Macaca mulatta: one gene and its partner. The protein of the gene in region 1 purifies or fractionates together with the protein of each later gene. This does not show direct contact. Links are inferred from orthologs where the notes say so. Each region holds a gene or a part of one and is shown in the gene's direction. Other genes may lie near its edges.

Region 1 (3,560 bases):
TCACACCTATAATCCCAGCACTTTGGGAGGCTGAGGCAGGTGGATCACAAGGTCAGGAGATTGAGACTATCCTGGCCAACATGGTGAAACCCCGTCTCTACTCAAAATACGAAAATTAGCTGGGTGTGGTGGCATGTGCCTGTAATCCCAGCTACTCGGGAGGCTGAAGCAGGAGAATAACTTTAACCCGGGGAGTCAGAGGTTGCAGTGAGCCAAGATTGCACCACTGTATTCCAGCCTGGTGACAGAGCTAGACTACATCTCAAAAAAAAAAAAAAAAAAAAAAAAAAAAAAAAAAAAAAACGAAAACAGCTGCCTGAAACCAGGTGCAGTGACTCATACAGGATTACATGCCTGTAATCCCAGCACTTTGGGAGGCTGAGGGGGATGGATCACCTGAGGTCAGGAATTCAAGACCAGCCTGGCCAACATGGCGAAACCCCATCCCTACTAAAAATACAAAAATTAGCTGCACATGGTGGTGCGTGCCTGTAATCCCAGCTACTCAGGAGGCTGAGGCAGGAGGATTGCTTGAGCCCGGGAGGCAGATGTTGCAGTAAGCTAAGATGCACCACTGCACTCCAGACTGGGCAACACAGCGAGACTCCATATCAAAACAACAACAGCAACAAAAACAGGCTATGTGCAGTGGCTCACACCTGTAATCCTAGCACTTTGGGAAGCTGAGGCGGGAGGATCACCTGAGGTCAGGACTCTGAGACCAGCCTGGCCAACATAGTGAAACCCCATCTCTACTAAAAATACAAAAATTAGCCGGGTGTAGTGGTGCATGCCTGTAATCAATCCCAGCTACTCGGGAGATTGAGGCATGAGAAACACTTGAACCCAAGAGGTGGAGGTTCCAGTGAGCTGAGATCACACCACTACACTCCAACCTGGGTGACAGAGCACGACTCTGTCTCAAAAACAAACAAACAAGCAAAAAACCAAAACACCTGCTGTAGTGGAAATGGATTGAGGGCCTGGAGCTTCACCTGGCAAGCTCCTCTTTTCCAACCCCCATCCACTCCCAGTAGCCTCAAGGAGATCGGCAGGAATCCCCTAGCTCTGAGAAGCACAGCTGACAAGCATTGAAGTGAGCTGCTGTTGCTGGTAGACAGGGGCTGCTGTGTTAAGAAGCTGGGAATGCCAAATGTCCATCAGTGACAGATTGGATTAAGAAAATGTGGCACATATACACCATGGAATACTATGCAGCCATAAAAAAGGATGAGTTTGTGTCCTTTGTAGGGACATGGATGCAGCTGGAAACCATCATTCTTAGCAAACTATCACAAGAACAGAAAACCAAACACCGCATGTTCTCACTCATAGGTGGGAACTGAACAATGAGATCACTTGGACTCAGGAAGGGGAACATCACACACCGGGGCCTATCATGGGGAGGGGGGAGGGGGGAGGGGGGAGGGGGGAGGGATTGCATTGGGAGTTATACCTGATGTAAATGACGAGTTGATGGGTGCAGCACACCAACAAGGCACAAGTATACATATGTAACAAACCTGCACGTTATGCACATGTACCCTACAACTTAAAGTATAATAATAATAAATAAATTAAAAAAAAAAAAAAAAAAAAAAGCTGGGAATGCTTTCTATGGCTAGGCACTTGGACCCAGGTCTTTCTTGTTTTTCTAAATGGCAGGCATACTTGGTTTTGTTCCAGTTTGCAGAGGAGTCAGCAGGGTGAGTGCTTGGAGTGGGTCTCGTTGCAGCTCCAGACCCTGCCCATTGGGTCATATTCCTTTCAGGATATTTGACCTCTGACCAGCCAGCATCATTAGCCCACCGCCCCGTGGCCTGTGAGCAGCACCCCCAGCCTCTGCCCCTTCTACCCTCTCAACCAGGTGGTGGCCAACGCGGTGGCAGCGCTCTCAGAAATCGCCGAGTCTCACCCCAGCAGCAACCTGCTCGATCTGAACCCACAGTCCATCAACAAGCTGCTGACAGCCCTGAACGAGTGCACCGAGTGGGGCCAGATCTTCATCCTGGACTGCTTGGCCAACTATACACCTAAGGACGACCGCGAGGCCCAGAGGTGAGTGGGCTGCCCCTTGCTTGCCAGCCCAGCCTGAGGACCCTGGTCCTCAGGGGCTCCAATGAGGCCTTGGGCCTTAGTGGGCCCCTTTCTAGTGCCTTGCCCCACAACCTACCCTCAGACACACCTAAAGGGAGGCCTGCCTGCTTCCTACCTCTCCAGAGCCAGGCAGGCAGGAGAGCTGCCTTGGGCAGTCAGCTCGGTGCCTGCTGTGGGCATAGGCCTGGCCTGGCCTGGGAGCTCGCAGAAGCCCAGGGCACCTCTGTTGAGTTCAGTAGATGGGTAGTGCCAGAGCCACTGCCCATTGAATTCTCACTGGGTGTTTGGCAGGTCCCCCAGCTGATCCCCCAGCTGGGGCTCACCTGACTCATGGTCTTAACCACAAGATACCCTCCAAGTCGGAGGAAGTGAGGAATTGCCATCTATACAGTATGTACTATGTGCCAGTACTGTGCTTGTTCTTTTTTGTTTGTTTGTTTGTTTGTTTGAGGCAGGGTTTCTGTCCCCCAGGCTGGAGCTGCAGCCCCAACCTCCGGGACTCAATCGATTCTCCCAGGTACCTGGGACTACAGACGCATGCCAATGTGCCCAACTAATTTTTATATTTTTTTTTTGTAGAGACAGGTTTCCACCGTGTTGCCCAGACTGGTCTCAAACTCCTGGGCTCAAGCAATCCACCCACCTCAGCCTCGCCCGGCCTTGTTCTTTATATGCATTATGTCAGTTGAGCCCCCAGCAACCCTGTGAAGTAGGCAGCATCATCTTGATTCTATAGATGAGGAAACTGAGGTGCAGAGTGATTTCAACCTGCTGGGAGTTAGCAGGCAGCAGAACCAGGATTTAGATCTTTCTTCTACAAAAAACATGTTTGTCTGTTTGTGGCAGGGTCTCGCTCTGTCACCCAGGCCGGAGTGCAGTGGCACAGTCACAGCTCACTGCAGCCTCAAACTCCTGGGCTCAAAGCAGTCCTCCTGCCTCAGCCTCCCAAGTAGCTAGGACTACAGGCATGCACCACCATACTCAGCTAATGTGTAAAATTATTCTTAGTAGAGAAGGGTCTCATGATTTTGCCCAGGCTAGACATGCTTTTTTTTTTTTTTTTTTTTTTTTTTTTTGAGACAGGGTCTCACTCTGTTGCCCAAGCTGGAGTGCAATGGCGCAATCTCGGCTCACTGCAACCTCTACCTCCTGGGTTCAAGTGATCCTAATGTCTCAACCGCACGAGTAGCTGGGACTACAGGTGCTCACCACCATGCCCAGCTAATTTTTGTATTTTTTGGTAGAGACAGTTTTACCATGTTGGTCAGGCTTGTCTCAAACTCCTGACCTCAAGTGATCCACCCGCCTTGACCTCCCAAAGTGCTGGGATTACAGGACTTGAACTATTGCGCCTGGCCTGTACATGCTATTTTGGTAACTAAAAACAGGATGTTTCCCTTTGTCTTTCCTGTTTGCCCCATTGGAATGGACGGATCCCAGCATCTGTGAACGGGTCACCCCCA
Region 2 (4,147 bases), on another chromosome or scaffold:
TGCTGTGGCTCCCTAGCCTGAGGGGCCTGCTGTCCCTCTGAGGCCTAGTGAAAAAGCTGCAGGAGGTGCATCCTCCACCTCTAATCTTGGAGGCTATTAGCTCACCTCCAAGCACTGAGCTGGGTTCCTGCCCAATTCCATCCTTCCCTGAGGGAGAGAAGGGAAGTGAAAAGTAGAATAACTCCCTACCATTTCCCTCTTTTTCTCCTCATCGGCCAGCCCCTCCTCCAGCCCCCTCTGGTGGCATGCCATGCCAAGAGCAACGTGTAAAGGAACAGAGAATATCCAATGCAGTCAAGTCCACCCCGCCCAGACTTTGCCACTGCCTTCTCCCACCCTTCTGTCTCCCCCACAATAGTTTATTTGGTTGGTCTGGACTCACTTGTGGCCTTTGATTAAATTCCTAAGGGGCCTGAAGAAGACATTTCTACTGCAGAGGGTTAGAGGCACTTGAGCAAGGCCCCCACACCCCAACTCTGGGAGTTGTGGTCGGGGGAGGCACTTCTTGGGGATAGGACCAGACAAGATAACAGGAGCTCACAAGGAAGCAGAAGCTGTGACAAGTTTAGTAGTCTCAAAATGGGTTATGTCCCTTCCCCCTTCACATCAGAATCTTGTGAAATGGGAAAACAACAGAAGGAGGGGATCAAAGAAAGCTGATCTCACATGCTTCCCAGGCAGGGCAGAGGTGGGAGTCAAACCTGGGTGACAGGTGGGTGGAGAGCCCTGTTTGAGGTTGTGGTTGATCCCTCTCTGGTATTAGCTTTTCCCCTGGGAGCAGGAAGCCCTAGGAAGAGGGGACTGTAGGGTCCCCAGGGGATCTTTCCTCCCTCCCCTGCATGAGGCAGAGGCAAGCTGCCTGCCAACCCCCTCCCTCAAGGAATGGCCTTGCCCGGGAATGCCCACCACACATACCCTCTTTTTTTCTAGTCAAACTCTGTTTATTCCTTGGCTTGCCTCCCTCCTTCCTCCCCTCTCAACCTTTACTTCTGATTTCTATTTCATGGAATTTGGGATTGAAGTTAAACTACAACAGTGCCGCCAACACCAAGTCTTGCAGGAAAAAAATACAAAGAAATTTAACAAAAAAAAAATATATTAATAAAAAAGTTCAAAAAAGGGGGGGGATTGTCATCTCCTTTGGGGTGCGATGGCTTCAAATCCAAACTGAGGCTCTCCGGGTGGTGACGATGTGCGAGGAGGCCTCTTGAAGAACTCCAGGCCTATCATGCTGTCTGTCCGCTAAAGCCTGAGGCTCGAGGTCAGAGGATCCAGGAAGGCTCTGCAGTCGGCCCAGGAGGGCGGGGTCCCGTGGTGGAGGCGGGGAGAGGGAAGGACCGCACTGATCACCAACCCCTGCTCTGCCCCGTACCAGGAAGCGCTGGGGGGCAGAGGAGCGGAGTTGAGGCAGAAGCCAGGTGAGGCTGGAGTCGTGGGGGTAGGCAGGCTGTCGCTGCCGCTGCCTGAGATGGAAATCGGGGGAGGAAGCTCGCGGAAGAAACAGCGGAGGGTCGTGGAAAGAAAGCAATGGCTAAGCTAGGGATGGGGTACCAGGTAGGGGGAGGAAACGGGAGAAATAGGTGGGGCTCCAGCGCATGCTCAATAGGAAGGGGCGCCGGTAGGGTGTCGACGCATGCGTAGTGGGCTTCTCGGGCGGTGGGGTGGTCGCGGAATTTGGAGACCTACTTCGGGAAAGGTAAAATGCGGGAGCAATTTTAGGGTACCTGTGGGACCTGGGCTCTTAGGGTCCTGACACAGGACGCGCCTGGGCCGAAAACCCAGGCACGCCCGGCCAGAGAGTGTTTCTTCACTCCCGGACTCTGCCAGTCAGAATGGTGGCGCCTTCGCTGAAGCTTCAGGACCTCATCGAAGAGATTCGCGGGGCCAAGACTCAGGCCCAGGAGCGGGAGGTGATCCAAAAGGAGTGCGCCCACATCCGGGCCTCCTTCCGCGATGGGGACCCAGTGCACAGGCACCGGCAGCTGGCCAAACTGCTCTACGTCCACATGTTGGGCTACCCCGCCCACTTTGGACAGGTACTGGCCAGGAATACCTCCCTCCTGAGCTTGATGAAGGCTAGTGGGGCAGAGTCACGGACTCTCTCACCTGTTTATGCCCTGGTTTTTAAAATTCTACAATTTCAGAGTCATCACAGGCTGCACTGCAAACCTCTTTCCCCATTGCTACCCCTACTGGTCATCATCTGGCCTGAACCCTTCATTCTCTGGCCAGCCTCGTTTAGGGCAGGCACCTCCTCCTTTCCTCTCCCATCCTCCTCAACTCCTAGTTCCTCCTACCCACTAACGCCTGAATTTCCTAAGCTTCTCCTCTTGTTGAAGGGAGAGTGATGAGATAGGATGCCCCACAGGTTAATCTGGTTTTAAAGAGGAAGATGGAACAGGGATGTGAGTGTCTGTGGTTTCACCCCTGCCTCTTCCTGGTTTGCCCCCTTGACTATAGATGGAGTGCCTGAAACTGATCGCCTCCTCCAGATTCACAGACAAGAGGGTGGGCTACCTGGGGGCCATGCTTCTATTGGATGAGAGGCACGATGCCCACCTGCTCATTACCAACAGCATCAAGAAGTGAGAGGGTTCTGGCAATCACTTGGAATCAGGGAGATGGGAGAGTAGGGACCTTGGAAATCCCAGGGGACTGCCTGTTGTGGGTATTGAAAAGGACTGATTTTCTCAGAGGTTTGACTGACCGTCCTCCCAAACCCTGCAGTGACCTGAGCCAGGGGATTCAGCCAGTACAAGGCCTGGCCTTGTGCACTTTGAGCACCATGGGCTCTGCTGAGATGTGCCGAGACCTGGCCCCAGAGGTGGAGAAACTGCTCCTGCAGCCCAGTCCCTACGTGCGCAAGAAGGTGAGATGGTGGGACTCCTGGCACTTGCTCCTGCAGATACTGCCTGCTGTGTGCCATATAGTAGTAGATGCAGGGGTCAATCCCCTCTGACCCCTGTCTGAGGCCCCGGACCTCTGCAGGCTATTCTGACTGCAGTGCACATGATCCGGAAGGTCCCTGAACTCTCCAGCGTCTTCCTCCCACCCTGTGTCCACCTGCTTCACGAGCGTCACCATGGTAAGGCTGTGGGGCTCCCCATCCTTTGCTTCAGCTCTGTGGACAGAAGAATTGAAAATTGGATGGGAACACCAGCTCATAGGAGAAGGGTAGCGGACACACACAGGCACACACGCAATAGACTCTCTTGCCCCTGGCCCCCACCATTCACTTCCCCGACCCTGACCCCAGGCATCCTGCTGGGCACCATCACGCTGATCACGGAGCTCTGCGAACGAAGCCCTGCAGCCCTCAGGCACTTCCGAAAGGTGGGCTGGTGAAGGGGCAGGCCCTGGGCCTGAAGAGAGGGTCAGTGGGGAAGGAATGGGGCTTTAGCTGGAGAGGATTAGAACAAATGCCCAAAGTTGTGCCCTCCCTCCAGGTGGTACCCCAGCTGGTACAGATCCTCCGGACTCTGGTGACAACGGGATACTCCACAGAACACAGCATATCTGGAGTCAGCGACCCCTTCCTGCAGGTGGGGTGACCTTTCACTGCTGTATCCCTGGAACAGAGAGGGCATAGCAGTAAGACCATGACCAGTGGTCTCCTCCAAGAGAACACTGGCCCTCTCAGTGTCCTGGGCAGCAGAATAGCAGGCACAGGATTGCTCAGGTCATCCCAGGACCTGTGAGGGGAGAGAGAATGCCTAAAAGTCAGGAAAATACAGTTTGGTAACAATTTTTTTTTAAGCCTGTCCTAAACTCCCCTGGCCTCAGACACCTCTGTTCCCCTCCCAGGACCAAGGGACCTGTGGAGGTGAGGAGGTGTGGGGAGGATCTAGGGAGCGAGCCAGACCCTCACAGTGCTCTCCTCCATGTTAGAGTTTTCTCCTCAGCTCCATGACTCCTTATCCTGTGAACCCCTTCACCTTTCAATTTTCAACCCAACCTCAGGTCCAGATACTTCGTCTGCTTCGGATCCTGGGCCGGAACCACGAGGAGAGCAGTGAGACCATGAATGACTTGCTGGCCCAGGTCGGGGCTGGGAGGAGGGCACTGGTTAGCTGTGTTGCTTGGAGACCCCACCAGCCCTGGGTGCCCCTCACTTGACTCCTCACTGTGCAGTGGCCATATCATTGCC

The links. Proteins that work in one complex are often made in the same cells at the same time.
Region 2: the proteins of AP1B1 (region 1) and AP1G2 fractionate together in Homo sapiens (co-fractionation; 3 studies listed by BioGRID and IntAct, with this or other methods). This does not show direct contact. The link is inferred for Macaca mulatta from reciprocal best matches to the Homo sapiens genes AP1B1 and AP1G2.

Annotation. Positions count from the first base shown.
Region 1 is NC_133415.1:22,198,350-22,201,909, forward strand, and holds part of AP1B1 (AP-1 complex subunit beta-1), read left to right. Parts: intron 1-1,830; coding exon 1,831-2,058; intron 2,059-3,537; coding exon 3,538-3,560. UniProt on the Homo sapiens protein: Subunit of clathrin-associated adaptor protein complex 1 that plays a role in protein sorting in the late-Golgi/trans-Golgi network (TGN) and/or endosomes.
Region 2 is NC_133412.1:96,663,475-96,667,621, reverse strand, and holds the start of AP1G2 (AP-1 complex subunit gamma-like 2), read left to right. Parts: upstream 1-1,304; 5' UTR 1,305-1,418; intron 1,419-1,601; exon of another isoform or gene 1,602-1,696; intron 1,697-1,724; exon of another isoform or gene 1,725-1,831; 5' UTR 1,832-1,832; coding exon 1,833-2,036; intron 2,037-2,460; coding exon 2,461-2,585; intron 2,586-2,727; coding exon 2,728-2,869; intron 2,870-2,988; coding exon 2,989-3,333; intron 3,334-3,446; coding exon 3,447-3,542; intron 3,543-3,960; coding exon 3,961-4,041; coding exon of another isoform or gene 4,042-4,065; intron 4,066-4,147.